4 linked regions of the Coturnix japonica genome follow. The main gene of each other region encodes a partner of the protein of the gene in region 4 in a complex. Links are inferred from orthologs where the notes say so. Each region holds a gene or a part of one and is shown on either strand. Other genes may lie near its edges.

Region 1 (6,809 bases), on a different chromosome or scaffold from region 4:
GCTGTGTTTTGGAGGTGATTATGCCCTTCTTTTATTCACTGAGGGAATTTTCAATGAGAATGATGACCTGAAGTGCAGTGTGGCTTTAGAAGTGGCAGGACCTCAAAGAATTAGAGATGATTGTACAGTTAAATCCTGAAAGCAGCGTACCCAAATACTATCTCAAAAAATGTAATAATTAATCAATTTTATTTCCCTGTGTGACCTGTTGTAGATCGTTCCGTGTCAGTACCTTCTGCAGCCTGTGAAACACGAAGACCGGCAGATTTATACTCAGCATTTGAAGTCTTTAGCGTTTTCAGCGTTTACTCAGTGTCGGAGACCTCTTCCATCTTCCACCAATGTGAAAACATTAACTGGCTTTGGCCCCGGCTTAGCCATGGAAACAGCTCTTAAGAGCCCTGATGTGAGTATTCTTATGATTAATGTGGTTCTGTTAATGTGCAGATGAGAGAAATGTCCCTTTTTATTAAATCATTGGTGTCTTTTACTTGAACTGAACAGAGTTCTTAATAGTAATCTCTACTTGAAACTTCATTTTCTGTTCTGTTGTCCTTATAGAGACCTGAGTGTATTCGACTGTACACCCCTCCTTTTATATTGGCTCCTGTCAAGGACAAGCAAACAGAGCTTGGAGAAACCTTTGGAGAAGCTGGTCAGAAATATAACGTGCTTTTTGTCGGCTACTGTTTGTCTCATGATCAAAGATGGCTTCTTGCATCCTGTACAGATCTCTATGGAGAACAGTTAGAGACGTGCATAATTAATATAGATGTACCGAACAGGTAAGTACCAAACTCCTTTTGATTTTTAACATGTATATATTCTTTCTTTCAAAGAATCATTTTTATCAAGATGATGTGAGAATATCTCTTGCTTTTGTTGACCCACTGTGCTGCAAATTTAAACCAAGTGGATAATTTCAATATGATGTGGATATTGAGTTAAATTTCTAGAAGGAATGTCCTATGGCCTCCTGTGATTGGAGAGTGCTTTGGTTTGTGTGATTTCCCCTTCCACCCCTTCCTCTGGCTTTTGATGTTAGTGTTACAATGTGATGAATGAAAAGCAAACCAATCCTTGTGTCCTGTGAACATTCAGGTTGGTACAAACAAGTTCCAAAGGTGGCAATAGAAGTTTGTCACAGATGGATTCCAGTTTTGTTTTCTCTTCTGTTTTAATTCTAGAGCTCGCAGGAAAAAGGGCTCTGCCCGCAGGCTGGGGCTTCAGAAACTCTGGGAATGGTGCCTGGGACTCGTGCAGATGAGCTCTTTGCCTTGGAGAGTCGTAATAGGCCGCTTAGGAAGAATAGGACATGGGGAATTAAAAGGTAACGTTTGTGCTTCAGTGTCTAAAAGTCGATTTGAAGCTTTCTTTTTAAATAGTATAGTGTCAATCTCTTTCTGGAAGAAAACCTGGGTGAAGCATATGAAGGAGCTCTAAGTTAACTCACAAATACTATGTCATACATAGAATAAGCATTCTTCAGCAAGTGTTGTTCTTCTAGACAAATCTATGTCCTTTGTATCCTCAGACTGGAGTTGTTTGTTGAGTCGCCGAAACCTTCAGTCCCTCAGTAAGAGGCTGAAAGACATGTGCAGAATGTGTGGTATCTCTGCTGCAGACTCTCCCAGCATTCTCAGTGCTTGTTTGGTAGCAATGGAACCGCAGGGGTCCTTCATTATTATGCCAGGTATGTGAGAAACGCTATTTTGGCAGGGGAATTAATTGTTTGTTTTGTACAAAACTAAGGAAATGTTTTTCTTCCAAAGATTCTGTATCTACCGGCTCTGTGTTCGGACGCAGCACCACTTTAAACATGCAGACATCTCAGCTGAACACCCCACAGGACACATCGTGCACTCACATACTTGTGTTTCCCACATCTGCTTCTGTGCAAGTGGCATCGTCAACTTATACCACTGAGAACCTGGATCTGGCCTTCAACACAAACAATGGTGAGCAGATTGGATTTATTCCTGTTTCAAAAACAAACCAACCCGAAACCCTTCATTGCTCCCCCTGTAGCAGGAATAAGACTTTATTCTACTAAACCACAGCATTTATATGGCAAATCACTTAATTTCTACTGCTTCCCTACTTATGGGAACAGCACATTCTGAAATCACGTGTTGTTGTTCTTTTTCAAGATGGAGCAGATGGAATGGGCATCTTTGACTTGTTAGACACTGGAGACGATCTTGATCCCGATATTATAAATATACTTCCTGCATCCCCTACTGGATCCCCTGTACATTCTCCAGGGTCCCACTACCCCCATGGAGGTGATATGGGCAAGGTAACTGATAGAGTAAATATAGAGGGGTGTGTATGTGTTCGTGTATATGTGTGTGTGGTTGTTTGCTCTCTGACATCTGGTTATTTCCTTTCTGGAATGAAAGGTTCCTATGAACTATTTTGAATTAATCAGATATTGGATTGCCACTGTAAAATCCATGTAATGCTCGGATCCTTCAAAAACGCTTTGTAATTTTAAAGCTGTGGGTAATTTCTTGTATCTTTGTGGTCTCCTAATAGTAAACCATTGCCTGTTAATTTTTTTATAGGGTCAAGGTACAGATCGATTGCTTTCAACGGAATCTCACGATGAAGTAACAAATATACTGCAACAGCCACTGGCCCTTGGTTATTTTGTGTCAACTGCCAAAGCAGGTCCCTTGCCTGACTGGTTCTGGTCAGCGTGTCCTCAAGCACAAAATCAGTGTCCCTTGTTTCTTAAGGTACCGTACCTCCAGTGGGGCTGCACTGGCATTTTTATTGAACAGAGGATTTATTTACCCTGAGCACCTTCAGTATGTAATAGTCTGACCTTATGGGGACAGCAGTGAACTTTAAAGCCTGTTTATTATTAGAAATCTTGTCACTGGAGTTTGCCTCCTTTTTTAATCATCATTTAATGTAGGCACAGAAGTAGTTTTAAAACAGTTTCCTTAGGTGTATTGCACTGTTAGCATTGTGCTTTTAGGAGAAAGGATTCCTGCACTTATGAGCTGCATAAGGATAAGCTTTATTTAACTCATGTGTTAGAGAACTAAGTGAAGTGGCTGCGATATTTGGGTCAGCGGAACAAGGGGAAGGAAGTTGCAGTTGAATCAGACGCTGACTGCTCACATCTCTCCTCCTTCCTCAGGCCTCTTTGCACCTCCACGTGCCTTCAGTGCAATCAGACGAGCTACTCCACAGTAAACACTCCCATCCACTTGATTCTAATCAAACTTCTGATGTGCTCAGGTATTTATGATCTATTGCTTGCAAAAACAGCTGTGCATTTCTTTTTTTAATACTACTGCAGGGGATCTGGAGGTTTGTTTTCCTTGCCATTAGTTTTCTCATTGTGTCACTGCCCTTCATACATAGCAAACAAAACACATTGCTGTGCACTGAGGGATGAAAAGACTTCCTCACCACAAGACGCTGCGGTTTAATACAAATATCTGAACTCTGATTTAACTAATTAAGATTGATTACAACTAAAAATATTTGAAAAAAACGTGAAATTCATTAAAAAATAGTGCATAAATGGGAGGAGGGTGGTTAGACTTGAGCCAGAATCTCATGTAAGCTGTGGGAATACTGAAGTCCAAGGGCATGCAGGTAGTTGTGTACACATAAGACACTTGTTAATGAGAAAGCAGCGTCATGGTTGTGTTAGTATTCACATATATATGTTCACATTCATATATATGTTCACATTAGTATGTGAATCTCTTAGCATTAATTATCATTGTCAACTAGGATTGGGTTAATTATTGATTAGATTTGATTAGATTATTGCTTAAAATACTACAGTATTTTCTACTGAAGTTCAGCTTTAATCTGCTCGCAACGATTCTATAGTTGTGTTACTGCAAAACATTGGCAGACCTGTTTTATGTGCTGAATACCACAGCAACCATGTTACGTTAAGCCGGTGCTGTAAAATGCTGCTGAGGAAAATCTGTTGGCTTGATGGAAGCTTGTTTGCTTTTCAGGTTTGTTCTGGAACAGTACAATGCACTCTCCTGGCTAACCTGTGATCCTGCAACCCAGGACAGACGGTCATGTCTCCCGATTCATTTTGTGGTGCTGAATCAGTTGTATAACTTTATCATGAATATGCTGTGATCTTCACCTGAATTTTGCAAGACAAAAATGAGGAAAAAGGATATTTCACTGCAGGACTAAGTTATGATTCTTCTCAGTGCGAGTTGTTTGTGATGGGGTATGAATCTTGTTACTTCCAGCAAATATTGGTTTGACTTGTGAGAGGGGGTACTTATCACCTGCTGTCTTGGAGTCGTTGACTATGGGGGATGCTTTAGAATGATGATCAGAAAGTGTATTATAACATTTTTAGTAGCAAAATTAACCATTTTTCCCCGGTCACAGTATTTGTGAAGAGTAATGAGCCATAGTACCCAGTCACAGTTAATGAATATTAAAGGCATGGAGATGAGAAGAAACGTGAGGAACAATGAGTTTCAACCTATGGCTTCGGAACATCAAGATGTTCTTGTATTGGATTATAGTACCTAGTATTCAAAAATGCCTGCATCTCTTATTTATTGTAAGTTTTTAAATGTATAAATTGTCTTATATTTCTTAACCTCTTTTATAAAAATTTTCCTAGAAGGTTTATACTGCCTTCTTGCTTTAAAGCAATTGGTCTAAAATATATGTAATCGTCTTAATTAAAAGTTGCAGTAGGTTGCTTTTAGAGTATTATTTTTTTGTAAGGGGGTGGGCGGGGACAGTAAATTTGTATTGTCTTGATGTACAGTTTAATGGGTATAGAGGGGTTAATGTCCATACCATTGTGTGTGGGGGATTTACAGCTAAGCTGTAGTTGCAGAGTACATGTACAGTAATGAAGTTCACTGTGTTTATATAAATTGAAAAGGTACCGGGTCTTACAGCATTTTATATCACACCTTTACAGAGTAACAATGGCAATATATCAGTGATATTGTAGGTGGTTTAACTTGTAGCGAGAATAAAACGAATAAACTCTTCAACTGAAGTTTGTGTTATGGTTCAGGGCTGTGGCTAGATTCTCAGATCTACTTCCAGTATCCTAGTTTAATTATTACAAGAATATCTATTGTGCATTGTTGTTGCTGGATATTCTTGGCACTGTGTTGAGCGCATTATTTTCTCCTGCTTGTGATAAAACACAAACCTAAAGTGGAAGGCACAGAACACAAATGTTGCCCAAAGTGTCCCGTTAGGCTGAAATTTAGCCCAGCTCTAACCATTTTACAAATGCAAAAGCAGTCAATCTTGACTTTAAGATTGGTGTGTGTTTAACTAAGATGTGATGTATATAGATTCTCAGTGAATTCTGGTATTCAGATTTTATTCCCTTAGGTGGGGTGGGGGGTGGAGGAGGACTAAAAAAAAAAAAAAACCCTTAAAAATAAAAATCCCAACCCCTCAAAAAACAACAACAAAATGCCCCAAACGTTTTCCTTTTTCATGTATTTTTGGCACTGTGGTGAAGGTTCCAAGTTTCAGTGTATGGCCATCCCCACAGCCCCTTTTCAGACTTTGTGTTTAAGGCGGCTCAGCCTGTTGGGAGGTGACAGCCCTCCCTGAGGAAGGGCCTGACTTGTTCCTGACTAAATCATGGGACTTTGGTTAAACCTCTCCTCCTTCACCATTTTTTTCCCTCTGTAGTTTCCTTCCTTTCTTCTCGCAGCCGCCAAATGTCTGATGGTGCTCTAAAATAGCCCCTACGGGTGCTGAAGAGCAACTGCATCTGCTTTTCCTTGGTTCCTCATCTTCTGACTGCTAGATTGAAAGCTTAACTCCTGAAGTGCTCACGTGAGTCTGTTGCTGTAATCATGTCCTGGGTCTTAACGCTGTCCGTCGAGCTGGTTAAACCTGTACAGGAGCAAGTTAAGATCCATTTTTTGCACCCACTGTTAATCCTCTACAAGGAAGAAATCACTTGTATTTACAAAACGTATCATGTTAATGAAGATTATGGTTTTGTAAATGCAAAATACCTGCCTGAGAATTTTTTTTTTCTTATAAAGTCTCCTTGAATGATGTATATACAATAGCGGCGCCTTTTTTGTTTTGTATAAAGCAGTTGTACAATTGATGATGAAACTTTCAGTCATTTCTTCAACTTAACTTGAGTGCAATCAGCAGTAGCAGGTTTTGATTAATGGTTAATAACGGGGTCTGTCTGTTCACTCACCTTGATGGAGCAGCACGTTTTGGTCTTACGGAGGGTTTTCCCCTTTTGAAGTGGAGAAGTGCTCCTAAAACTGCAGCTTCAAAGTGTACGTCCCAGTTTTATGTTGGGTTTTCTTTTGGTGTTTTGTTCCTTAAGTGGTTGCTTAAGTTCCAAGGGCTGGGGCTGGTGTGGCGCTTTGTGTTGTTCATACAGGTAAGTGAATCAGCTGCCTAAATCGTGATACAGCCCCATTCTGTTACCTGGGCCATAACATTCCCCATGAAGCTCTCCAATTGCAAAAGCTGCCAGTTTCCCACATGATCCCCTTCCCTCTCCAGTGCAGTTAAATGATAATTAATTTAATACTGTAATCACTAAAAAAATGATGAGGGCTGTTTCTGAAGCGAGTCAAAGCCGGAGGTGTACGTATCAAAACTGCCAATGCCATAGAGCAACTACTCCATTGAACATACCTTTCCATTAGTTACTTTCATTCTTTTAAGTGCACATAATTGCTGATTTATAAATAAAGCCATTGTGAGCCAATAACTCGGGTTCTTTAGAAAGTGCAATCTTAAATATTTGAAAGCCTCATCTCTGGCTTCTTAAAGTGGTTTTGAGAAAA
Region 2 (7,712 bases), on a different chromosome or scaffold from region 4:
CCACCGTCTCACCCAAGCATGTGCCGCCCCGCGAGCCCTCACCCGTGCGCTATGACAATCTCTCCCGCCACATCGTGGCTTCCATCCAGGAGCGGGAGAAGCTGCTGCAGCAGCCGCCCGCAGCGGGCAGGGAGGACGATGCGGGGCTGGCAGACTCGGGCATCCAGTCGACGCCGGGCTCCAGCAACGCCCCCCGCACCAGCTCTTCCTCGGACGATTCGAAGCGCTCGCCTCTGGGCAAGAATCCGCTCACCCGCCCGGCCCCTCCCCGCTTTGGCAAGCCTGAGCCCTCTCACGTGCTGCGGGTGCGCTCCCTGGGCTCCCCTGAGCAGCCCGCCGCCCCCCACTTGGGCAAATCTGTGTCTTACAGCAGCCAAAAACCAGCAGCGTCTCAGGCCAGCGTCCCCGAGGCTGAGGAGGTGGCCTTGCAGCCGCTACTGGCACCAAAGTGAGTTTTGGCACCGTCTGCCCCGCATGGCGTGCACTGCAGCTCACCGGGGTGGATGCGGGGAGGGCTGGGGAAAGTCCTGCTGGCACAGAGCTGGCGTTGTCCCTGGGAGAATTCATGGGCATCTTGGTGGGCTTGAGGGACGTCTGGCTGCTTTGTGTCCCTGGGGAAGGCAGGGCTGCCTCTGCTCCGCCGTGCTGGGATCCCACTCCCCCCTTTCCCTCTGCCCCGTGCTTTGCCACACTCTACCCCCGTGCTCCCACCTTCTCACCCCCGTGTGCTTGCTTCCCTCCCCAGAGACGAGATGCAGATGAGAACATCTTACAGCAAGTCCAACGGGCAGCCCAAGAGCTTGAGCTCAGCCACCCCTGGCTCAGGATCCGTGCCTGTCAGCAGCCCCACACGTGGAGGAGTCAAGAAGGTCTCTGGTGTGGGGGGCACCACGTATGAGATCTCGGTATGAGGGGCAGAGCCGCTCGCCTGCTCACCTCCTGGCTGGGCACCCGCTTGCACCAGAGGGCTCCATGGGCACAGACGCTCTGCAGTCTCCAGCTGAAGACGGGGATGAGGAGATGGGCTGTGGAAGCCCCAGGGGTTTTTTTCCTCCCTCTTTCCACCCCTCCCTGGGACTCAGGCGCTGACTCACACCCCAGGACTGTGTGGGGCAGGGATGCTGCCCTGGCCAGGTGTGGGGTCGTGGGGGGGGACCATGTCCCGCAGCCTCGTGCCCTGCCAGCATTGGCCGGGCAGCCACTTGTGGGCCTTGTGCAATCAATCGCTCGCCTAGCGTGGTAGGAATGGATTGTTTTTAAACCAGAATAACTTTTTTTTATTATTATTGTTACGGATTCTATTTTTTTTCTCTTTCTGAGTTACCAGGTGTGTGTATATATAAATATCTATATATATAAATATAAATATTAAAAAAAAGGAAAAAAAAAAAAGAAAAAAGTAAAAAAAAAAAGAAGCAGAAATTATATATCTTACCCAGAGAGAGGAAGAAACCACCCATTCCCCTTCCCCACATGGGCCACCACCTCACAGGGTCCGTACCCAGGGCCCCTGTGCTCGAGGGATAAGGGGGGGATTCGCTCAGGGGCTCCTGGGGGTCACGGGGTGCCCATGTCACACTGGGGCCTGCGGGATCCTGGACCCTCCTGCTGGGTTCTATCATGCTGTGGACCCCCCTCCCGTGTGCTTGGATCTGGAGCCCCTGTGCCCGGCATCTCCCACTGGCTACAGAGGTGGTGTGAAGCTGGCGATGACCGGGGGAGCTGCTGGTGTGCAGGTGAGGGCTGCAGCCTTTCTGCACCTGCACATTTTGCTCTATATTTTGTTTTTTGGTTTTTTTTAGCATTTCCCCAGGGTTTGTGGTTTTTTTTTCTATTATTTTTTTTTTTTAATGGGTGATCAGGTTTTTTTTGGCTGTCACGTGGTTATTTTTATCTCCATGTGGGGAAGAGGCACATCCCTGTCGAGCAATATTTTCTCATCACATGCCAAAAAACGCAGCCAAGGAGCCCAGTGCTGCCCCGCCACCCCCAGCCCCATTGGGGAGCCCACCCCGCACCGGGCCCACGCAACTTCACGCACTACTTGACTCTTTCTCTATGGCAATATCTCTCCTGTGGCCTCCGCAGAGCCATGCCATTGGTTTTTTGTTTTTTTTTTTATTATTATGATTAGCCATTTTAAAAACGAGGAATAAAAGGATATTTAATGAGTCACCTCAGCGGGCATGCGTGTGCTTTGTGCGGTGTCCAGGGATGGAGGAGTCCGTGAAGGATCCTGTCCTTCACTTCTCAGCTTTCCCTCCCTCGTCTGGAGTGGAAAGGAAGGGGACAAGGAGAGCCGGGCCCAGCCTTACAGGGCTGCCAGTGCCTGCGCCCTCACAGCTGGGATGTGCTTCCTTAGGGCACTTTGGGGCACAGCGCTCTCAGTGCAGGTAAGTGGAGCTGTCAGGGTTGGAACATGTCCCAGGACTCAGTGAGGCTCTGGCTCTTCTGTAGGAGCCCCCACAGGGGCAGCCCTGGGGGACATGGTGCTGAACTGGGGTCACTTGTGTCCTCCTGAGCCTTCTCTCACAGCCCAGAGAGCTGCAAGGCCTGGAGTATGATGGGACAGGCACAAGGCCTCTGCTCCTTGCCCTGCCCCGCTGGCCAACAGTCAGAGCCGCCACTGGCACCAGCTCTTCCTCAGAGCAGACTTTAATTAAAAGGTGAATAAAAAAGTGAGATCCCAATGCACCACGTTGCTTAGGTGTGGTAGGAGCCCCCATTCCAGCAGCGTCCGCGTCACCAGGTCCCCATCAGCCACACAGTGCAAGCAGGGGGGTTGCAAGGCCACGTTCTCTGCAAGCGGGGACCATGAGTGCCCACACCTCCCCGCTGTGCTCTGTGATGGGACGAGTCCACAGCTGGGGCAGGGAGCTCCATAGAGCAGCACAGCGCAGCCTCACCGCAAGCTGCTGCTGCTGCTGGCCTGCGAGCTGCCCACCCCGGGGTGCTCGGGGCTGTGTCGGTTCTGCAGAAGAAGGACAGGCGTGAGGCCTTGTGAAACCCAGTGCCAAGCCCTGCTGGAGGCCTAACGTGTGGTGCTGCCGCGGCCTGGCACGGGGCTGGTGCAGGCAGAGCAGAGCAGCACGCTGCCTCCTAACCTACCTTCTTTTTCTTTTTCTCCTTCTTCTTCCTTTTGCGCTCCGGATCCTCCTCTTTCTTCTTCTTCTTTTTCTTGTGGTCTGAGTCCGAGGGGGTTTCTGCAGGAAGCAGAGGAGGGGTGAGCGGGGCACAGAGTTACCAGGACACATGGGGTGCAGAGTTAGCAGGGCACGGTCCTACCTGGGGGCACAGGGTCCTGCGTGCGGCTCTGCTTGTGCTTGTGCTTGTTCTTCTTCTTGGGCGGCTGGATGTGCATGAGGCGGCACTGCTCCGGCAGCTGCAGGGGCTCATGTCAGCGGACCCCCTCCTTACCCCCATCCCCCCTTCCTCCCCCGGGTGCTCACCGGGCCGGCGTGCAGTCGGAACCCGGTCAGCATGGTGCCGGTGAGCGGCGTGAAGGAGCTGCCGCAGATGGGCGGCTTCTCGATGAGGGAGCGCAGGCTGCTGTTGTCGTGTGAGCCGGGCAGGTCGATCATGCCGGGCAGGTCGGGCAGGAAGTTGCTGAGCTTCTCCTTCACCTTCTTGCCGCAGAACTTGTTGTACGCGTGCTCCAGGCTGTAGTGTGTGATCAGGTTGCTGCTGCCCGTCAGCTCCGTGCCGCCTGCGGACGGACCGGCACCCTCAGCGCCCCGCCCCTCGCCGGACCGCCCGCGCCCATTGGCCCGACGAGCCGTCACTCCGCGCGTCCCGCCCGCTCATTGGCCCCGCGCCCCCCCCCCCTCCCCCGCGGCCCGGCCCGCACCCGGCAGCTCCCGCAGCAGGTAGAAGGGGCCGGTGGCGGCCTTGCGCGCCGCGTCGTCTCCCGGCGGCGGCACGGCGGCTGCTGGAGGCGGAGCGGCCCCCGCTCCCGGCCCCTTGTTGGGCCCGAAGCCCAGCGCGGCGGCGGCGGCGGCGGGAGGCGGCTCGGCCCCGCCGAACAGCGCCGAGAAGTTCTCCATCTTCCCGCCCTGCCCCGCGCGGGGCCGCCCCGCCCCTCGCGGACGTACGTGCAGCTCCGGCCAATGGGAGCGCGGCGGGCGGCCGGAGGACAAGATGGCGGTGCTGGCCCCGCTGCTGGCGCTGCTGTACTCGGTGCCGGGGCTGTGCCGCTGGCTGGCCCGGCCCTACTACCCGCTGTCCGCGCTGCTCGCCACCGCATTCCTGCTCGTCCGCAAGGTCCCGCCGCTGTGCCGCGGGCTGCCCTCACAGCGGGAGGACGGCAACCCCTGCGACTTCGACTGGGTGAGCGGCAGCACCGGGCCGGCCTGTGCCGTGGCCTACTCGGGTATCACCGGCGCTGGGTGCAGCCGAGGCGGCCCCTCTGTGCGCAGCCCCGGCTCCTGATCGAGGGCAGGCGGAGGATGAAGGCTGGAGCGGCCTGGAATGGCTGCTTGGCCTTGTGGTTGTGCTGCAGGGCTGCTCGGTTGTGCCCGAGGTGCTGGCTGTGGCTGTGGCTGTGGCTGTGGCTGTGGCTGTCACGGTGCTCACTGCGTTTCTCTCCTGTGCAGCGGGAGGTGGAGATCCTCATGTTCCTCAGCGCCATCGTCATGATGAAGAACCGGCGCTCCAGTGAGTTGGGGCAGTGCTGGGTTGAGTATAAGCTGCTGATGGGGTGTCTCTGTACTGGAAACAGTTGAGGGATGAGAGTGAAAAGAGACGTGGCCCCATCTCTGATTTCTTCCCTCCTTCCCAGTCACTGTGGAGCAGCACATTGGGAACATCTTCATGTTCAGCAAAGTGGCCAACGCCATCCTCTTCTTCCGTCTTGACATCCGCATGGGCCTGCTCTACCTCACGCTCTGCATCGGTGAGACACGTGGGGAAGTGGGGGGGGATCCGTAATGCAGGGGCTGTAACAGTGCTCCTGTCAGGCCTTGTCTCTGCCCATCCTGTGCATTGCCTTCCTCAAATGGGGCTGGAGCCATCTTGCCTTGTGCTGCTGCTGTCTTTGTAGCCATACAGGCTGCTCTGGGGAAGGAGGAGCCTCCCTCAGACTAAGCCTGTGTCTCTTGGGCATTCCAGAAGTGGAAAAAAGGGGGCAGAGGCCTCGCTCCAGGTGGGCGCTGGGCTCAGGGATGCTGTTATTGCAGTGTTCCTGATGACCTGCAAGCCACCCCTTTACATGGGACCTGAGTATATCAAGTACTTCAACGATAAGACCATAGATGTGAGTATCTCCTACCCAGTGTGAGTTGGCGTGGGGTGCCGGGCTCCCTGCCTACCATCCCCTGTTGACTCGCGTGGCAGGAGGAGCTGGAACGAGACAAGCGGGTGACCTGGATCGTCGAGTTCTTCGCCAACTGGTCCAGTGAGTGCCAGTCCTTTGCCCCCATCTTCGCTGACCTCTCTCTCAAGTGAGTGCTGCCTGCTTTTGAGGCCTTGCTGAGTCGGTCCCAGCCCAGTGCTCACTCAGAGCTGTGTTCTGTCTCCCAGGTACAACTGCTCGGGGCTGCACTTTGGGAAGGTGGATGTTGGCCGATACACGGATGTCAGCACCAGGTCTGTGGGGCCGAGAGGGTAGAGGAAGGTACCAGGCCTTCCAAGTGCCTTGATGTCATTGTCTGCCTCTTGCCTTACTCCTGCAGGTACAAGGTGAGCACCTCGCCCCTCACCAAGCAGCTGCCCACCCTCATCCTCTTCCAGGGAGGGACAGAGATCATGCGTCGCCCACAGATTGACAAGAAGGGCCGGGCCGTTTCCTGGACCTTCTCTGAGGTACATAAGGGGCAGGAGGATGTTCCAGCCCATGCCCTGAGGATGGGATGTGCTCAGCGGCTCTGAGGAGCTGTGAATAGTGGGTGTTAGCAGGTCACTGCTGGTGCTAATGCTGTGCTTTGACTGCAGGAGAACGTGATCAGGGAGTTCAACCTGAACGAGCTGTACCAGAAGGCCAAGAAGCAGTCAAAACCACGGGATGAAGGCAGCGAGGAGCCGCCCGAGGGGCAAGGAGCGGCCAGCCTTGCCAACGGGGAGACTAAGAAGGAGAAGTAGGAGCTGCTGTGTTCTCACCCATCACCACTCCGCTGTCCCCTGGGGACCATGCAGTGCCGGCTGGTAGCCCTGCACGTAGCGCTGAGCCCGGGGCCACTGCTCGCTGTGCCCGCGCTGAGGGCCCCGTGCCATCCCCCGGCCCCGCCGGTGTCCGGTCTGGGTCCAGCCGGTTCCCGTTAGTGGTCCAGCCGGTATAGCCGTGCTGCGGGTCGCGCCGTCCTTATGCTGACAATAAACCTGCTGTGCGCGTCCCCGTGTCCGCTCCGTGCTCGTGCTCGCGGGGGGCGTGGCTGCGTGCAGCGTTCCGTGCGCTGATTGGCTGCCTCAGCGCAGCTCGGTGGCGGGAGGTGGTGGCGCGCCGGCGGGAGCTGTGATGGCTCCTCGTGGTCGGAAGCGCGGCGTGCGGCGCCCCGCACAGCCGGGGAATGAGGCCGACCCTGCCGAGAAGCGGCCCCGCACTGATGCTCAGGGCGATACTGACGGCGCTGCCGGGGACGCCGTTGGGCCCCGCGTGGTCATCGAGCACTGGTAGGTTAAACCCCCCGCCCCTCTCAGTGCCGAGGCCGCGGGCCCGTCTCAGTGCCGCCTCCCGCAGCCGTAGCTGACGCGTGTACGGGCGCAACGCGTTGGCGCTGAGCGAGGCGCTGCGCGGGGCCGTGTCCGCCCTGGCCGTGGAGATCAACCCGCGGCAGCCCCGCAGGAACAGCTTCGAGGTGTCCCTGGTGAAGGAGGACGGCAGCAGTGAGTACGGGGCCGGGAGGAGCTGGGGGGGGTGTGTATCCCGACCGCCCTGACCCGCGTCCGTATCCTTCCGTAGCCGTGCAGCTGTGGAGCGGCATCGGGAAGGGGCCGCCCCGCAAGCTGAAGTTCCCCGAGCCCGAGGTCGTGGTGGAGGCGCTGCGGAGCAGCCTGGCCTAGAGGCGGCACGACGAGAACGGCGTCGCGGAGGGAGCGCTCATGAAGAGGCGGCACCAAGGGAGGGCACCGCCCCCAGTATCGCCTCCGACTCCGAAGCTCCCCCGCAGAAACGCCGGAGCTCAGCGGCCCCGGCCGGCACCCAGCAGCGTTACCCCAATAAAGTTCCGCGGCTCCGTCACATGGCGTTAGTGCTTTATTTCAGCGTCACCCGACACACGGACACCGCGCTCTTTCGGTCTCACGGGCAGGCGGTAGCGGCTCCTTAACCGACTACATCCACCTCCCCACCGGACTCGGACTCGGGGCTGGGACAGACGCACACGGTGCCGGGGGGCAGACAGGGCTCCGCCATCCCCACATCCACCTCCTCCTCCAGCTCGTCTTCCGTCAGCCCGCCCGCAGCCGGCGGCGGCCACGGCTCCGTTCCCGTCCGGGCCTCCACTGCGACGGGCTCGAGGGAGAGCTGCCCGTCCCGCACCACCTCCCAGCCGCGCCGCCCTTCCATCCTCCTCAGCTTCAGCCGCCCCACGGCGTGGGCCGGACCCGCGGTCTCCGCAGGGAGCGGCCGTTCCCGAGGGGCGTCCGTCAGCGGGACGGTGCCGGACCCGGTGCCGCTCAGACAGCTGCGGTCGAGCTGCCAGCGGGGCCCGGGCCGCAGCACTCCGTCCTCCCACAGCTGCAGCGACTCGAGCGCGGCCACGCGGAGCCGGCGGGCGGCG
Region 3 (8,698 bases), on a different chromosome or scaffold from region 4:
CTGGGTCTGCGCTGCGATGGATGGCTGTGGCTGCAGGGTAGTGTGACTGCTTCTGCTTGGAGAGACGTGTGTGCCTTGTTTCTTGTTGCCATTAGGTCTGGGATTTGCGGGTTCTTGGCTTTGCTTGGGAGAAGTTCTCCCTTTTTTGCATGGATGGCAGAGAAGTGCTCATCCTGGGGACATCCCTGGGGAGACGCGTGGGCGCAGCGTGACACTGCAGCGCTGACCCATGCAAAGTGCTTTGGCTTTCTGCTGCCCCACTGAGGCTGCTTAATTTATTGTTAAGTGCTATGAAAAGGGGAGGGAGGAAGGCTGCAGCTCCGTGCGGTGGGGCCTGGATGCTGCTCTTCTCTCCTTCCTAAAGTGCCTTTATCCTCTGTCCCCTTCCTTCGCTCCCTGGGCAATGGGAGACTCTCACTTGAAGCTGGTTGGCTGCAGGTAGCTCAGATGTCAGTTTAGATTTAGAGAAAAAAGAAAAAAAGAAAAAAAATCACTGAATGTGCTGCTATGGTCTGAAATGCATCTTCACTCCTCCAAGGCAGGGATCACATCGTGTCGGGGGGGCTGTTCTGCATCAGTACCCGAATGGCTCGAGTTGTGTCCTCACAGGGTAGAAAACTCGCTGCGCACTTGAGCTGAAAAGTGATGGCAAAGTGACAAAGTGATGATGGCATTTTGTTGTTCTTGTTGATCCTGTCTGTTCATTTTACAGAAAAAAAGGAAAAAAAAAAAAAAAAGTGTTTTTTAAAGAAAAAAAAAAACCATTCTATAATGCTGCTTTCCTAAGAGAGAACCAATACATTGTAGACTCATATTAACCAGGAATAGCCAGAGAGCCGCTGCTGGGGGTGTCCCTGCACACAGAGCAGCTGCTGAACTGCTCCTGGGGGGGAACCTGCTCTGGGTGCCACCAGAAACAAGTTTATCAGGTGGAAAAAGCTGGGGCTGCTGTGCTCTCACCGCCGATGAATTGCGAGGAGCGTCTGTACAAACAGATTTTTTTATATATATATATATGAGTGAGTTTTAATTTAAGAGTAATCTGTTGTGGTGTTCACATGCAAGTCCTGCTGCTGGGAAAGTTGGAGTACCGTGTAATGTTGCAATAAAGTATTTTAAAGGAGCACGGCGGTGTCAGGGCTTTCCCTTTGCTGCTGTTCCCTGCACAGACGGGGCTGTGCAGCAGGAAGGTGAGCGCGTTGCATTGCGTGTTTGCTGGCAGCTCGGCCGATCTCTCTTCTTATCAGCTTCTGGCTTTTTTAAAGAAAGGAAATATGAACCAGGAAGCCAAGATTAAAAAAAAATGGCTGCAGTGTGTGAGCAGCCCCAGGTGCTGCTCTGCTCCACGGGGAGACACGGAGCCAGGAGGTGCTCAGCACTACACGAAGCTTCAGGGACTGCTCCCCATGGGCCGTGATGCTTCCAGGAGCAAGGACAGGAGCTGGACATCTGCAGGAGCTGTAGTGTCCAGGTGAGCACCCAGGTAAGCGCGGAGCCTTGTGCGATGCCCCGCTGGATTTTACAGCAGAGGTGGCACTTCAAGGCAGCTGCCACGTGTGGGTTATGGCCTTGCCCCTTGCCCCCACCTCTCACAGGAAGATGTTTAACCCCAGCCCCTCTGCCCAACATCACAGAGGCTGCTTAATGCACAGCACAGTTGGGAACGTGCTCGCTGCTGACCAGAGCACAAGGAGGGCAGGGAGTTGCACAGCCCCTGGTCTCCTTTTGCAGCCGGGACAGCTGCAGCGCAGTGCTGCAAGGAGCCGCTGTTGGTGGCTTTGCTCTGCCCCCTGCTGGGGACAGGACGAGGGGAGGGGGACAGGGCAGGACGATGCACGGATGCAGCCACACAAAGATGCAACTGCAGGTCAGAGCTGCTCCAGGAAGGACCCAGCACGGGCTTTATTTTCCAGAACAGGAGCAGGACAAGCCCTACTGCTGTCCTGGGTGCCAGGGCTGTAGGGCTGCCCTGACACAAGCAGCGCAGGGAGCCCAGCCCAGCCCCGTGGTTACAGCACCATGAGCAGTGGGATCCCAGGGCTGGATGCTCCCAGACCCCTGGACGTGCTGCTCCCAGCTGTGCAGCAGCCCCCAGGAGCCAGGCCAGGCTGTGGTGCTTCCTTCCTTCCTCCCCTCACTCCATCACTGCCGGCTCCTGCCCCTCCACGTCCCGTGTCTTGGAGTTCACCAGCTCCCTGCGGATCTCGGCTGAGATCTGTGGGTGGCTGTGGAACTTGAGCAGCTCGAGCAGAGCTTCCTTCTGCTCCGAGGACAGGTCCTCCTTGTAGCGCTGGGCAAGAGCCAGGAAGCTCTGGTGCCACAGCACGGGCAGCGTGCGCTGGTCTGTGCGGAAGGCCAAGAAATGGAAGACCAGGGCATCCACCACACGGAACGGCAGCGCGTACTTCTTGTCGATGAGCAGCCGCAGGAAGATACTGTTGGCACCGTTATATGGCATCTCAGCAATCTTCAGCATGGCTGCACTGTGGGGACAAGGGGAGCAGCAGGTGAGGGCAGGGCACAAAAAGGACGGCTTTGAATCAGCCCTGAGCAAAGCTCCCCCACTCTGAGCTGTTGGATGGGCTGAGGGGCAGTGACTGCCCCAGTGCATTACCTGGAGTGCAGGACAGGGATGGAGCACTTGGTGAGGATGCTGCCGATGATAATGGCCTCCCGCAGTGTGCAGGTCCCCGATTCACACAGGGGGATGAGGATCCCTGTGGGGAGAGAAGAGCTGGGCACCACTGGTCATTGCAGCAGGCAGAGCTGTGGGGTGTGAGGCTCAATCTCTGCTCTCTCAGGGCACATTTAACCCAAGGAAATAACATCTCTGCATCATGGGCACCTTTCCACCTTCCTCCCCCTGCCCTGCCCTGCAGCAGGTTCCCAGGGGTGGAGTGCAGCCCTGCAGGGAGCCCCTACCTTTGAACCAGGCTCCTGGCTTGAACAGAGCCTTCTTCAAAGCCATGTAGAGGTGGAAGTTGAGGCGCTTATACTCAGCGATATCATCTCTGACCCGTGGCAGCAGCACCAGGTTGTAGAACCTCTGGGCCATCCTCTCCTTCAGGTTGGATGAAAATATCCTGTGAAATGCAAAGCATGAAGAGTGAGCTGTGACTCCAGAGCCATCCACCCCCAGCATCAGGATCCCCTCTGCTCCACAGGCACAGGGCAGGAGGAGCAGCTGTAGGACACACGATGGTATTTTGTCCATCTCGTTCCATTACAAGGAGAAAACAACAGCTCAGAGCACACTGAGCTGGTCCCACCTCGTGGCCTGGTACATCGCTGCTGCCGTCCACGTCTCGGGCTCCGTGATGTAGAGGATCTGCTCCCAGTTGGACAGGGCAGGAATGATTTTAAATGCCTTGGGGAGCTTCCCACTCCTGTATTTGGACAGCACCTTCAATGGAAGCAGAGGGGGAAGGGTTTGTCTCAAGGCTGTAAGCAACCTGTCTGCTCCCTGTGCAGCTCCACTGCGTGTGCTCACACAGCACGTATGTGCTCACAACACCCGAGGGACACAGCAGTGCTGTCTGCACTGCTCCGCCGGGAGCTGGGGGGTCCCACAAAGGTGTGTGTGGGGCCGGGGGGGCCGCAGTGCCCTCACCTCTCTGACGCCTCTGTACACCTCTATCACGCGGGGGTCGAGCTGGGGCATGGGGCGGCCCGACAGCTCGGACAGCGCCGTCTGCACCTCCGTCTGCTTCTCCGTGATCTTCTCCATGATCACATCCGCCAGCGTCCGCCTGGGGGGGCGGCAGGGGTCGGTGATGGGGAACCGGAGCTCCCCGTCCACCCCCCGCCCATTCCCACCCCTCCTCCGGTACCTGAGCGGCGCCGCGCGGTTCATGAACATCTCCAGGGCCTTCTCGTCCTCGGGATCCACCTGCACGTCCCCCCCGCCGCCCGTCCCGTCCCACTCCGCCGCCCGCTGCAGTGACGGCCACTCCTCGTCCTCATCGTCCTCCTCCGACCCGCGCCCGCTCGGGGCTGTCGGTGCGGGCGCCCCGGGGCCGTGCTCGGCCTCCAGCTCCTCCTGCTGCCTCCGGGCCTCCCGCAGGATGCGCCGGGACAACCGCGGCCCCACGTATCCGCCGTCCCGTTCCTCCGCATCGCGCCCCGCGTCCCGCGCCCGCCGGTTCCGCACCGTGGGGGCCGCAGCCCGCAGGATCTGCTCGTGCAGCGGCTCCGCCACACGCGCCGCCTTCGGCATGGCCGCAACAGCGACACGCGATCAGACGCGCCGGCGCCAGCACGGCCAGCCCCGCCCCTTCCGGTACCGGCACCGCCACTGCCGGGACGGAGCCATGGGGGTGACCTGGTGAGGGGCCGGTGGGGATGGGGTGATGGATGGGGTGATGGATGGGGTGATGGATGGGGTGATGGGGTGATGGGGTTGGGGCTGGGTTTGGGTTTGGGTTTTGTGGAGGCCCCGCGGCCATTTTTGCTGTTTGTCGCCCCGCAGCGTGACGCAGGTGCCCGTGTTGGAGGGTAAGAGCGTGCAGCAAACCGTGGAGCTGCTGAGCAAGAAGCTGGAGCTGCTGGGAGCCGAGAAACACGGAGCGTTCGGGGTGGACTGTGAGACGTATCACACGGCAGCCGCCATCAGCAGCCAAGGTGGGAACCCGGGGGGGGCGGGTGTAGTGCGGACATGGGGCATCTGCTGGGCTGGTCAGCATGGAGAGGAGAAGGCTGAGAGGGGCTGGGGGCGCTTATCAACCCATACGAATGTTTAAAGGGTGGGTGTCAAAGGAACGGGCCAAACGCTGCTTTTCTTTCAGGGCAGACGGGCAAACTGATGTACGTGATGCACAACTCCGAGTATCCCCTCAGCTGCTTCGCTCTGTTTGAAAACGGGCCCTGCCTGATCGCGGACGCCAACTTCGACACGTTGATGGTGAAGCTGAAGGGATTCTTCCAGAACGCCAAGGCAAACAAGATCGAGAGCCGGGGCACGCGGTACCAGTACTGCGACTTCCTGGTCAAGGTGGGAACCGTCACCATGGGCCCCAGCGCCCGCGGGATATCCGTGGAGGTGAGAATCACCTTTAAGGGTATGAAATCCAGGGCAGGGAAATCCCATGTTGGAGGCTTGGCTAGAAACCTTGAGTCCCCATCCCTTCCATGTATCATCTGTGTTACTCGTTGCTGGCAGGTTGTATTAATGCATTCAATGCCCTCCTGCTGCAGCTTTGGCTCTAAAGCTGCTTTCTCCTGGTCACAGAGCTCTGTGCTGTCAGTGCTGCCCCAGATCTGAGATGAGGTGCTGAAAGGTCTTGTAAAATCTGAGCATGTGTTTCCCTAAACACACAAATCCTATTAACTGGTCTGTAATTAATAATGATGGCGCATCTACCCAGGCAGGTGTTCCGAGCTAACAGGGATGGGATTGAGAAATGCCTTGGTTTTGCTTCATAAGAATAAACACAGATGTAGTGGTGCGAGCTGCTGCTGAGCTGGGGTTAAAGAGAAGCTTGTTTTACCCTAAGCTTGAGTCCAGGACCAGATTTTCCTGGCAGTCCGGCTGCTTCTGCTTTGGTTTAGTAGGTTGTTTTCTGGGTGTCCATTAGTACATAATCCCTGGTCTGGAACCGCAAGTCCTTAAATCCCAAGGCTTTATCATCACACATCTGAGAGATGTCGTGGCCACACAGGCTGTTAACAGCGACTCTTGGGAGAGAAGTTTGTCGTTGGATTTCCACTGCTGGGGGTTTAAAATGACGGATGAACCTAAAGGGGAAATTTCCCTTTCTTGTTCTTCTCTTTTGAGGAGCTGGTTTGCACATTCCCTGTGTGTCCTGTTCACATGTTTGTCCTTCTGCTGTTATGTGCTCAATGTTCTCAATTGAAAAGCACTGTTATCCCTCTGCAGTGCAGTACAGAGGAGGTGTTTGCTGGCTTCAAACTCTTGATGCATATCTCATTTAGGGCTGTTTTTTGTTGCCAGGTGGAGTATTGCCCCTGTGTGATCGCCAACGACTGCTGGAACCTGCTGATGGAGTTCATGCAGAGCTTCATGGGCAGCCACACTCCCGGCATCCCGACTGTGTTTGGCACCAAACACGACAGCGTCTACAGCCCCGCGGACACGATGGTTCAGTACATGGAGCTGTTCAACAAGATCCGCAAGCAGCAGCAGGTGCCGGTAGCAGGGATCAGGTGAAGGGACTCGTGGAGCTCAATGTGCAGCAGCTGCAGGTCGGGGTCCGTCCAAAGAGCAGCTCTGCAGCCAGAACAAGGCACTGAATAACTGTGATGTCAGCAGCTCTGGGAGGAGCCGGTTGCTGAGCCGTCATCAATGGCAGCATCACCATGAGGGAACTGCACGAGGAATCGTGTGCCGAGTTCCTGCAGCTCCCGGTGGGGTCCATGTGCATTGACTGCACTGTGCCTGTTGGTTTCCAGGTGCTGGTTTCGGGCTGTGGCTGTAAAAACAAACCCTGGATTTGGTTGGGTCGCGATTTCAGTTGTTTCACTTTTTAATAAGGTTAAAAACAAAGAGTTTCCTTTCAATGACCATTTTAGTGACGCTGAACATTGTGACGCTTTACTCATTCCCTAAGGTTGGTCTTAAAGATGTAAAACATGCTGGGATCCCTGCAGACCTCACTGCCCCCCCCCCCCCCCCCCCCCCCCCCCATGGCCCCGTTATCGCCGCGCTGCCCCTTTAAGATCCCTTTGTCTGCTCCATCCCTATTGACCCTCAACTTCAGCCGGGATTCACAAAGCCCGCTACGTCACCGCCCGGGGCCGGGCCCAGCCGCTCCCCGCCCCTTAACGCTGCCTCCCGCTACGCAACCGTGAGCCGTTCAGGAGCGCCCCCTAGCGGCTGCGCAAAGCTCGTAAGCTCCGCCAGACCTCCGATTACTACGGCGCTAGCTACGCAAACAGCGTCCACTCGAGCGCCTTTAGCGCCGTTAGCTCCAGAGACGGTTACGGAATTGGCGTAGGCGGTGGAAGTGAATGGGGAACGGGGAGGGGGGCGGGGCGAGCGCGTTGTGTGGCGCGCCCTCCGACCAATGGCGGTGAGGGGCGGGGCGCGGCGGGCGGCCAATGGGCGGGGAGGGGGCGTGTCCCGCGGCGCGGCGGGGTCTCCCGGCGGTGACAGCTCGTGTCGGTGATGGCGGTAAATAAAGGGAGGGGGGGGGGGGGGGGGGAACCACGGGGCTGTGGGAGGGTCCGACCCACACACGGTGCCCGATGCGCTGCGGGGGGCGGGAACTGCGGGACGGGCCGGAACACGGCGGGGGGGGCAACGGGGGGGGGTTACCTGCTGTGGGGAACCGGGAATGAGGGCAGGAACCGGCCGGGGGGCGAGAGGCCTTTTGGTGTGACAGGGGGGGAACTAGAGCGGACAGGAACGGGAACAGAAGAACTTTGTGTGTGGGGGCCCGGGGAGAGAGTGGGGGGGGTGAGGGGTGTATGGGGGGATGTGGGGATATGGGAGATATGGGGGATATGGGGTGTAGGGGGGCGGCGTTGCCTCGTGTTGCCGGCCGTCTCGCTGGGCCCGCGGGGTCGGGGCCGCCAAGATCCCGGCTCAGTTCGGTCCCGCTGAGGCTCCGTTCCCCGCCTCGGAGCTGCTGCCCGTCGGGTCGGGTCGGTTCCGGGCCCTGGGCCGGGCTCGCTGCGCTGTTGCCGGTACCGCAGCGCTCGGACACTCGTTTCCCCGCGTGTCCCTTCGTGTGAGGGCGGTTCTGACAGCGCCGCGTTCGGGGCCTTTTGCTGTTGCACAAGTTGTGTTTGTTCCCAGTTGATGCTCTTTATCCAGCAGCAGCGCGTTGTAATCGGGGCTTTATTCAGCTGTTGCGCATCCACACGTCGTTGCTTTAGAGTTAAAGGTCGTTGCAGCGGTTGCGGAGCTGCCGACACGCCGGGCTGAGCCCCGCGATGTGCTCAGCAGCTCCCGGGAGAACAAAGTCCCGCTCAGCCGGGGCCGTTGGTGCCGCTCGGGGGTGGCAGCTCGGAGCGGCTCCTGCTGCAGCTCCTCGTCATCTCACGTTTGGGGTCCATAACTTGCTTGTTGTCCTTCCCTGGCCGTGTCTGGCCGCTGACTTTGCTTCCTTCCTTGCTAAAATGCACTTCGTTGCTGGCTGCTTCCTTTAAATGGTTGGTTGGTTCTCAGCACTTACAGAGGAGCTACAAGTACTTCGGTGGTGGCAGAAGCGCCGTGTTACAGAATCCATCTTGTAAGGTCTTATTTTAATCAGCTTCAGGGCTTCTTTCGGTAGTGCTGAGTCCTTCCCCCTCTGTCCTCCTCTCCCCTCTGCTTTGATATCAATTTATGTCTTAGGACCTCTGCTAGGAGTCACGAAGTTTAGCGTAGCTGTGTTCTCACCATCAGAGGAGCTTCACATTCAGATCAGCTGGAGATGGAACTGCTTGAGGATTCGGCTTCTGTCGCACAAGATGTGCAGACACAAATTCTTTCACGTGCACTTTTGGTTTGAGGAAGTAGTGAAGGTTTCTGGAGCTGCCCTGAGTCAGAGCAGAACTCAGGGCTTCTGTCTTCAAGCTGCTCGATAGAAAGGAACAGAGAGATGCTGAGATCAGTGGTTTGAGAAATCTCACCCGTAACGCCATTGAGATTAAATGGGAGAAAAAGGTGAGTCCCATAGTAACAGCTTTGAGCTTGTTGTGCTGTGAAGGACTTGCTGCCTGGGAGCTCAATGCTGAGAGTTCTGTGAGAACTTTG
Region 4 (8,336 bases):
AGAGTTAATATTTTCATTGGTGCTTTTGCTCCATGTACTTTCTTTATACAATTTGGGATTTTACAGGCATCTGTACCTTCTTCTTCCCACCTCCAGGCTATGTCTATAAACATTAATATCATGTATGAATTTTCCCCAATACACATAACTAGGTTATACCCTAGGCACTGGTCAAGTGAAGTCAAATTACTTTTGCTCAGGTGTTTCACATTCACATTACAGACAGCAGTAAAGATCCCTACACCTGCATTCATCTTTCTTGCTTCCTGCTTTTCAATCACTGGCAGATATGCAACATATTTACCTGGCTGCCCTGCTTGTGCCATTTGCACTCCTGCCAGCATTGGCTGCTGCTGAGCTGGTGCAGTTGACATTGGCACCTGCTGCATGCCTGAAGCCCCTGCAATGATAGCACCAGCTCCTGGTTGACCTGACTGGACAGATCCTCCAGAGCCCGGGGGTCGCCGGTTTGATAATCCCTTCCCAAAGGCCACAGCTGCTACCAGTGCATTGGTATCTGTAGGGTTGAAAGTCTGCTTGTTCTGTCGTAATCCTGTGGGAAAAAAAAAATAAAATAAAATTGAGCATTATGGCATTGGAGTCAAAAAAATTATCACAGCTGGTCCTGAATTTCCTTTTTTGATGGTTTGCTTGGCACATGCTGCTCAAAAGGAAGGGGGTCAGAAGAAGCCAACTCCTCCAACCATGAGAGTGCCCCCCAAAATGCTTTTCCATGCTTTTGTTTGTGCTTATCCTCGTTTTCCATTCTTTAGGCTCTCTGTTTTACCTATTTTCCCACTGTTCTCAAGCCAGCTGCTTTGACCACATACTCAATTTCCACCTCAGTGACATACCTCCGCTTTCAGATTCGCGTTCCTCCTTACTGATTTTCTCCAGCAGATTTGAGCACATTTTATTTAGACTTTGGATCTGTTTCTGCAAAACAAAAATCATCAGTAACTACCAGGATACTTCTAATGCGATACAAGTCAGAACAGCAAATGAACCATCTTTTTCTTTTCAGTGCAATCAAATAAACATTTTGGTAGCAGAGCCCAGACAGCCCAGTTCCAATGCATGCAGGAGGGCACTACCAGGGTGTACAGCTTTTGCCTTTCTTTGACTGGTCTGATAGCACCTCCTGTGAGCAGGTACTAAGCTGGATACCCTTGTCATGTGAGATTTGTAACCCAAACATCAGGTAGGGCTATCTAAAGAAACCTCAGGGCATACCAACAAAGAAAACTTAGCTATAAGCTCGATGAAAACTGAGTTAAAGGGCATCGTGAGCCCTAGGACCAAGTGACAGAAGTATTAAACTCTTCTTCACCTACCTGTGCTCCATCAGGGCTAATTCGAGCTGCATCTGTGATCAGTTGCTTCTCCTGCTCCTCCACCTCTGGGTCAGGCTTAGTTCGCAGATGGTCAGGCACGACCTCGTGGCTGAAGACCGGTACACGACCCTCTGTCTGTCGCTACAACAGTTGGACAACACACACTCAGGGCCCCCTCCTCCAGCTAAGCCCTCAGACAGCTGAAGAGCAGAGCACAGGCCATGACACTGGAGCAAGACCTACTGGGATGCTATGGGAAAACCTTGGCCTGGGGAGCATAAGGAAGTCTAAACTGCAGGTACGCTGTGACACTCCAGGTCCAATACTCAGCAGGAAGTTTCTTACCATGATTTCCTCATCACGGTCTGGAGACAGCACTAAGGGGATGATAACCTGGTTTCGCAATAGCGGGGTCTTCTCATGCTTTAGCACTTTATTTAAAGTGTTCAGCTGTCCTGAGAGCAATGCGAAGCTGTCCAGAACTGAAGGCCTGAGAAAGGAAAGAGAACAGAACATGGAAATAGACAACACAGATGGCTTTTATCTGTTCCTCATTCAAATATCTGGGAACCGAGGAAATAACATTATTATTTACCCAAACAATAAGGAATAAAACCTAGAGCTGAACGTGTAGGTGTGGACAGATTCAAGATTCGACGTACAATGCTGTAAATAGCCCAGGGACTTTACAAGTAGCATTGGAAGTGGCAGTTGTTTGGGATTCCTGCAACACACACAGGAGCAATGCTTTTCTTATCAATAACTCTCCCAGTGAAATTCTCAAGCAAGGTCTTGAAACACATACTCACTCCTAAGCAGTACAGACAAGAGACAGGTTTTATAGCTTGGTTATCAAGACAAAGTGATAATGAGGCAAAATAATGGACAAACTTATCAAGAAGATCCCCTTCAGTTTGCTCTCTCTGGGGACTTCACCACCTACAGATGCTGTCTGTGAATCTTTGCAGCAGAAACTGTCTAAGACACCTCAGAGTTTATTCAGCTGTAGATACATCATCCTTCCAGTCCACCAGGAAGAGAATACCACCTTTCAAGCCTCTCAAATTGTCTGAGAAAGCATGCCAAACCAGCAAAATGCGAGCACAGGAACACAACTTTATAACAGAACCAGATAAAAGATTGAGAAATGCAGAATGATTGCTCATTTCACAGCATAAGTGGGTCACTAAGATATTTTTGTCCAAAGAGTTTCCAGTCACTGCAAATGAAAACAACTACACCAGTTCCCATAAAGCACCCAGGTTCAAGGGTATTGGTATGATTACTACTGCACAGTGAAGAAGAAATGAATTTCAACTGTTTTTCGGGTGGGAGATACTCAGTAGTTTCACCAACGTTAACATGAAAAGTGAAGGTAAGCCTGTGGAGAGCAAGTTAGTGGCTTTTAATTACACTTTTTGGGCAGAGTCTAGAAGAGCTTCAGCAGCGATCAGTGACAGTGCCCTGTCTCTGTGGGATGCCTTACCATGTGAGTCGATCGTACTCATTCTCCAGCTTGTAGATAAAACTGACCAATGAGTTCTTCAGGTCAGCCACCTGGCTGATGAGTGCCTCCAGGGTCAGCTCCAGCTGCTTCTCCTCTCTCTGAAAAAAAGAATGAAAGATAGGGGTGAGGACAAAGCTTTGTACCTTTCCAAGGACTGTGGGGATCCATACATCTGCAACCATATTCCACCCTCTCCTATGGAGAGACTCCTCTTCAAGGCAAGGAAACAGAGACCACGTAGATAAAAATCCTACATTTTCACACTTATCTTGTCTCCTTGTAAGAAACATTTAGGAAGAGACTCGTACCTGAGCCAACCCATGGCTAGCTGTCATTTTTAAGATCTAGATAAGTAAAGCCTATACATCACTTGCATCAGGCAAAGTCATCAAAGTTACCTTGCACCACCTCCGTGAGTTATTCATGCTAACCCAGCTGAAAGCAGATTAGCATTCTCAGCACCCTTTGACAGCAGGCACAGTGATGTCTTCACCCAGCACAGCCATTTGCAAAACAAGTATCAGATCAGTGGCCCAAAGACTCCAGTTTCTGCCCTTACCCTCATCTCTCACTTTCTTCCTGTCCAGGTGCTGCATCCAGCTCCTAAAAATTCCTTGTCCCTTACCAGCTGTGGAAGGCGCTGCAGTGTCAGTGACGTAGTTAGACACATGCAGAGATCACCTGCTGCCTTTTGCCTTGGTGCACTGCTTAAATAATCTTCTCCCCTAGCTGAGAGGAGTATGGTGACATACAAAGCAATAGGAGAGGAGACCTGTTGTCACATATAGCACAGAATATCTCCGACTCTTGCGAAAACCCTCTAGAACCTTATCTATTCTTACTCATTCAACAGAATTGCACAAAATGTAATTAAAGCCCCAATCCTAATGGACTGCTAATGTAAGTCAAGGACTGTACAACAATAATCCACGAGGAGGGTGAGACACAGCAATACAGTTAAATAATAGAAAGGGAATGCTGATTGGGAAAGCAGATGGGGTGACTCAGTCTGCTTGCACGCTCACTATTGGGATCCTTGTGCTGTTTAAACAAACTGAAACTAGCATGAGATCATCAAGTATCTTCCACATTTAAGAGAACATGAAATTATTCTACTCACGGTCTGACAAGACTATAAAGGTTTTGTTTTTTTTTCCATAGACTGCTGATAAGACTTCACTACCTTAGAAGAAATGGCAAAATAAATGTGGCTAAAATCCACTTCCAATCCACAGCATGGATTAACAGAGCAAACCACGGGGTTACAACTCACAGCTACAGCACTGCAGCTCTCCGCCATCCTGTGATGGGACTAGTCTGTTCCTGTGCACTTAAGAAACAAGTCTAACGCTGACTGTGCACGTTGTGTTTGAGCAAGATGAACCACTGACAGCACTACGAGTTGGGCTGGGAGCCAGTATCTCACTGCAGAGGTGGCAGGTACACACAACCAAGACAACTGGTGTGGCCCATTGCCAGCGCGTATCCAAGAAGCCCTAAAGATTGTGAATGAAATCACACTACACTGTGTGACAGTGCAGTCTGAGCCTCCTCCTTTTGTGTGCTCTCTCCATGAGAGCTGGAAGTAAGTTTAAGCACCGCAAAGCACACGTGCACCAAGATCAATGATTCAAAGAAATACTCTGCCTCTCACAGACATATACAAGCAGCAATTCAAGGAGTCTGTTAACAATACTGAATTGTCCCAGGGTAATAAAATAGGATTTACGGGAGAGACTGCTGAAGGAACTCCTGATAATGAATGACTGGGAGGTAAAGGTGAAATTCAGAATAAACATAAAGCAATACACACAATGAAACAAAGAGAAATAAACAACCCTGACTTTACACACACACAATGACATTCTCTGAGCTGATAACATTATCACTCACAAACAAGATCTGAGGATTATCCGAGGGTAACCCAGGGAAACATCAGCCTGAGGCTCAAGAAGTCGAGGAAATCAAAGTAATAATGGGATTTATTAGGAAAGCAAGGGATCCTGTCACTGTTACCTGGGAGAGGAGGCCGACCTCCACCCCATTGTAAATATTTGGAGAGTTTAAGGGAGTCATGGGGTCCCTCTGAGCCTCCTTTTATCCAGACTGAACCATCCCAGCTCCCCCAGCTGCTCTCTGTAATGCCTCCACCCCTCACTTTCCCTGTCGCAATCTCTGGACACGCTCAGGTCTCAATGCCCTTCTTGCTTAAGGGGCCCAGAACAGAACGCAGCACTCGAGATGCGGCCTCAACCAATGTCAGCACAGAGGGACGCCCACCACCCCGCTCCTATAGGATACACTGAGCCTCCACGAGCCAAGATACCATAGACCTTCTCGAACAACTGGGCACACTGCTTTACTCCTCCAAAGCCCGGCCCACGGGGCACAGCGGAACCCCATACGGGCCTACTGCTCCCTCTAGCCTAGCCTAGCCTAGCCTAGCCTAGCCCAGCCCAGCCCAGCCCAGCCCAGCCCAGCCCAGCCCAATACAGCCCTGCTCAACCCCATACAGCCCCTCACCTGCATGGCTGCGCGGCCCTGTTGTTATGGCAGCCTTCCACTTCCGAGTCAGGTCAGAGGGCGCGGGGCGGGGCCGCCGGGCAAACATGGCGGCTGCCGAGAGGCCCGAGGCTGAGGTGAGGGGTAACGCGCTGCGGGGCGAGGGGAGGCGGGGTTGTTTGCGGCTTTGAGACCGGGAACTGTGTAGAGAGGTCGGGGGTTGTGGTGGTGCCCGGCCTGGAGTGACGAGGCGCTGTGCTTCTGCTGCAGGTGGAGGAGGCTGGGCACGTCTTCCTGTTGATGAAGAAGGACTATCGCATCTCCCGCAACGTGCGGCTCGCCTGGGTGCTCAGCCGGCTGCACCAGGTCATCTGGGCTGTGCCCGAGCCCGAGCTGGTGAGTGGGGGCCGGGGGTGCTGCAGGGTGGATGGTGGCCCTGCATCTCGGCGTGTCCTTTGGCTTGGAGTAATGTTTCATGCTTGTCGTTCGCTTCTTGTTGTAGTTGAAGTCAGAAAACGAGCTGGATGTGCTCAGCATCCTGCCCAACGGATGGCAGCCGGATGAGCCCGTCCAGCCCCGGCCCTACCTCTTGGTGCCCTCCACGCGCGTTACGTTCCTGGCCCGCCAGTACCGCTTTGTCATTGAGCTCGATCTGAGCCCTTCCACTGGCATCGTGGTGAGTCCAGGAGCTGCCTCTCTGGGGTGTTTTGTGTTAAAGGACCAGGCTTGGTTCCCTCTGCTGAGAACATGTGTGTCCCTGCATTAGTGGTCACTCCTGCAGGGGTCCTGTGTTCCTGAGGGCTGAAGCAGGCACTGCTGCTGGCAACACAGCCTTGCAGTGGATCCTGTTTCCTTGCAGAATGTGTGACCTCTGCTTGCAGGGGTCGTTCTGAGGCAGCTGCTGTTGCAGAAATAGGCTTGTACTTGTCTCTGTGTGGTGGGTGCAATGAGATTGCAGATTCCAGAAGATGTAAAAGCTGTTTTGTTTACCCCATGCAGTGCTGCTGATTTAGGGGCTGTGGCTGAGAGCTTTATGGAGGGAGAGGATCTAGGAGTGTTAGCTGACAGCTGGCTGAACATGGGCCAGCAGTGTGCCCAGGTCTCCAAGAAGGCATCCTGGCTTGTATCAGAACTAGTGTGGTCAGAAGGACTGAGGAGGTGTTCAAAAGCTGTGGAGATGTGAGGTGCAGTTAGTGGGTGTGGTGGGAATGGGTTGATGGTTGGACAAGGTAATCTTAGCTATAATGATTCTATAATTCTCCTCTTCTGTTTCTGTAGGATGACTCAACAGGAGAGATCATTTTTGATGAAGTGTTTCATGCTCTTTCCCGATGCTTAGTGGGATTGTTAAGGCCCTTCCGAATCCCTGGTTCAGACATTATTTATCAGCCCGAGATCTTTGTCACCATCCAGGCGTACTCCTCCATCATTGGCCTGCAATCCCACCAGGTAAAACTTGGCCTTGCCCTCGGCATCTCATTGCGTCAGCAGCTGTCTGCGTTGGTTTCCTATGAGCCCAGAGGAAAGTAGGGATGTCTGTTAGCTGGGCTCTGGGGTGTTGCAATCTTGCTTCTTTAAAACATGCAGCCTGGTGCAATAGAGAAGCAGAGGTGATCAAATTCTCTCTTCTGAGAGGAAGCAAAGGTTTCTCACAGTAGAGCAGGGCCCTTTGGAGATCACTGCCACATGTGCTTCTCAGAGCACACTGAGTCTTTATGCTCGTGACTACTCTGTGTTTTTGTTGGTGTTGCTCTGTTTGTTTGTTTTATTTTAATTTCTGTTGACTAATTCTTTTGGCCTGTTGTAATTTGAAACATTCAATAAGAGGTGTCCAAAAGCTTGTCTGCCTGCTTCAGCTGTGTAGCTGTGGTTTATTCAGTCATAATTTCCTCTTCCTGCAACCTTTGTTCCTTTTTAGCGTTGCTTAGAAATGTGCTTCCCCTAGTGGAGAGGGCAGCCCCCAATAATCTCTCATTTACTTGAGCCAGGGCAGGTCTTTTTAATACATTGAGGTTTGGTCTATCATGCCTGCGAGGTTTTTGAAGTTTGTTATTGTGTCATTCCCTTCCATCTTACGGCATTTTCATGTTATTTTCACTTCCCTGGTGTTGTATCCTCTTTGCCTCCTTATTCTGCAATACCTGGTTTTGGCAGAGGTTGCCTCTGTCACAGTACCATAAATAGAATCTTTGTGCCAGTCAGCATGGGGAGCTTCTGTGGATCTTCTGTTGTATCACTGAGCCTCTTTTGTAATGTCCAGTCTAACTCCTTTCTAACTCCTGATTTTCAACATTTTACTCCACTGTACAACCACTTACTAGAAGATAAATGGATCATCCAGTAGGTGAGTTAGAAGAAACGGATCTTCTTTAGAAATGTCAGACCAGAGTTAATGCCTTCTCATAAGGATCCCATGTTATTTTTTCCTAGATGAGGGCAAAAGAGTAGAAATTTTTTCATCCAAGAGGAAAATTTCCTAGAGCATCTGCTGCAGAGTTCACTGCAGATGCCATGAAATTCTGTTGCATACAGGCTGTTTGGCCCCATGCAGGAATAGTGACAAGGGGCCTGTGCTCTGCTTTGTAAGGGACGTGTCTGAACTGTGTTATAGGGGGTTGATAGTATAAAACTCTTTGGCTGATGTGTGTGTCCTTGTGCCAGGTACTGTTCCAGGGCTGTCAGCTGGATGAAACAAAGAGAGAAGCCTTTCTGCACCAAGTTTACACACAGCTGTGTGCCTTTGAGAACAAAGTGGCAGAGATGCTCCAGCAACAGTATGAACCCAAACCACAGGTGAGGAGGTAGATGGGGTTTCTCAGCTAAATAAAGATCTGTGCTGTGAGACCCTGTGGGTGGAGTGGCAAATAGAGGAATGCTGTTGTAAGTGTGAAGAAGGAACAGCTAAGGAGTTTGTAAGAGAACTTTGTGGGGTCTAATAATAAGAAATGAGTGCTGAGGAGAGCAGAACCAGTAAGTGTTTAGGGGAAGGACTA

Evidence for each region.
Region 1: MED8 (region 4) and MED13 share a complex: the UniProt entries of both Homo sapiens proteins name them as parts of the mediator complex. The link is inferred for Coturnix japonica from reciprocal best matches to the Homo sapiens genes MED8 and MED13.
Region 2: MED8 (region 4) and MED19 share a complex: the UniProt entries of both Homo sapiens proteins name them as parts of the mediator complex. The link is inferred for Coturnix japonica from reciprocal best matches to the Homo sapiens genes MED8 and MED19.
Region 3: MED8 (region 4) and MED20 share a complex: the UniProt entries of both Homo sapiens proteins name them as parts of the mediator complex. The link is inferred for Coturnix japonica from reciprocal best matches to the Homo sapiens genes MED8 and MED20.

The regions. Positions count from the first base shown.
Region 1 is NC_029534.1:6,213,341-6,220,149, forward strand, and holds the end of MED13 (mediator of RNA polymerase II transcription subunit 13), read left to right. Parts: intron 1-214; coding exon 215-406; intron 407-561; coding exon 562-785; intron 786-1,187; coding exon 1,188-1,330; intron 1,331-1,534; coding exon 1,535-1,693; intron 1,694-1,772; coding exon 1,773-1,958; intron 1,959-2,150; coding exon 2,151-2,299; intron 2,300-2,567; coding exon 2,568-2,741; intron 2,742-3,151; coding exon 3,152-3,252; intron 3,253-3,992; coding exon 3,993-4,125; 3' UTR 4,126-6,106; downstream 6,107-6,809. UniProt on the Homo sapiens protein: Component of the Mediator complex, a coactivator involved in the regulated transcription of nearly all RNA polymerase II-dependent genes.
Region 2 is NC_029520.1:7,803,432-7,811,143, forward strand, and holds MED19 (mediator of RNA polymerase II transcription subunit 19), read right to left. Parts: upstream 4,067-7,712; 5' UTR 4,044-4,066; coding exon 3,848-4,043; intron 3,707-3,847; coding exon 3,450-3,706; intron 3,383-3,449; coding exon 3,286-3,382; intron 3,204-3,285; coding exon 3,109-3,203; intron 2,972-3,108; coding exon 2,903-2,971; 3' UTR 2,638-2,902; downstream 1-2,637. Other genes in the region: palmitoyltransferase ZDHHC5, read left to right, coding at 1-448, 746-911; TMX2 (thioredoxin-related transmembrane protein 2), read left to right, coding at 4,138-4,326, 4,593-4,653, 4,778-4,891, 5,175-5,251, 5,332-5,438, 5,518-5,583, 5,670-5,799, 5,929-6,075; BTBD18 (BTB/POZ domain-containing protein 18), read right to left, coding at 7,256-7,712. UniProt on the Homo sapiens protein: Component of the Mediator complex, a coactivator involved in the regulated transcription of nearly all RNA polymerase II-dependent genes.
Region 3 is NC_029541.1:4,732,574-4,741,271, reverse strand, and holds MED20 (mediator of RNA polymerase II transcription subunit 20), read left to right. Parts: upstream 1-4,214; coding exon 4,215-4,324; intron 4,325-4,468; coding exon 4,469-4,620; intron 4,621-4,784; coding exon 4,785-5,038; intron 5,039-5,950; coding exon 5,951-6,148; intron 6,149-6,953; coding exon 6,954-7,124; downstream 7,125-8,698. Other genes in the region: BYSL (bystin), read right to left, coding at 2,135-2,483, 2,615-2,717, 2,923-3,083, 3,270-3,403, 3,611-3,749, 3,831-4,216. UniProt on the Homo sapiens protein: Component of the Mediator complex, a coactivator involved in the regulated transcription of nearly all RNA polymerase II-dependent genes.
Region 4 is NC_029523.1:17,386,035-17,394,370, forward strand, and holds the start of MED8 (mediator of RNA polymerase II transcription subunit 8), read right to left. Parts: upstream 5,451-8,336; 5' UTR 5,371-5,450; coding exon 5,365-5,370; intron 3,425-5,364; exon of another isoform or gene 3,407-3,424; coding exon of another isoform or gene 3,401-3,406; intron 2,940-3,400; coding exon 2,821-2,939; intron 1,825-2,820; coding exon 1,680-1,824; intron 1,476-1,679; coding exon 1,335-1,475; intron 937-1,334; coding exon 855-936; intron 554-854; coding exon 305-553; intron 1-304. Other genes in the region: KICSTOR complex protein SZT2, read left to right, coding at 5,451-5,480, 5,614-5,739, 5,846-6,019, 6,622-6,792, 8,005-8,136. UniProt on the Homo sapiens protein: Component of the Mediator complex, a coactivator involved in the regulated transcription of nearly all RNA polymerase II-dependent genes.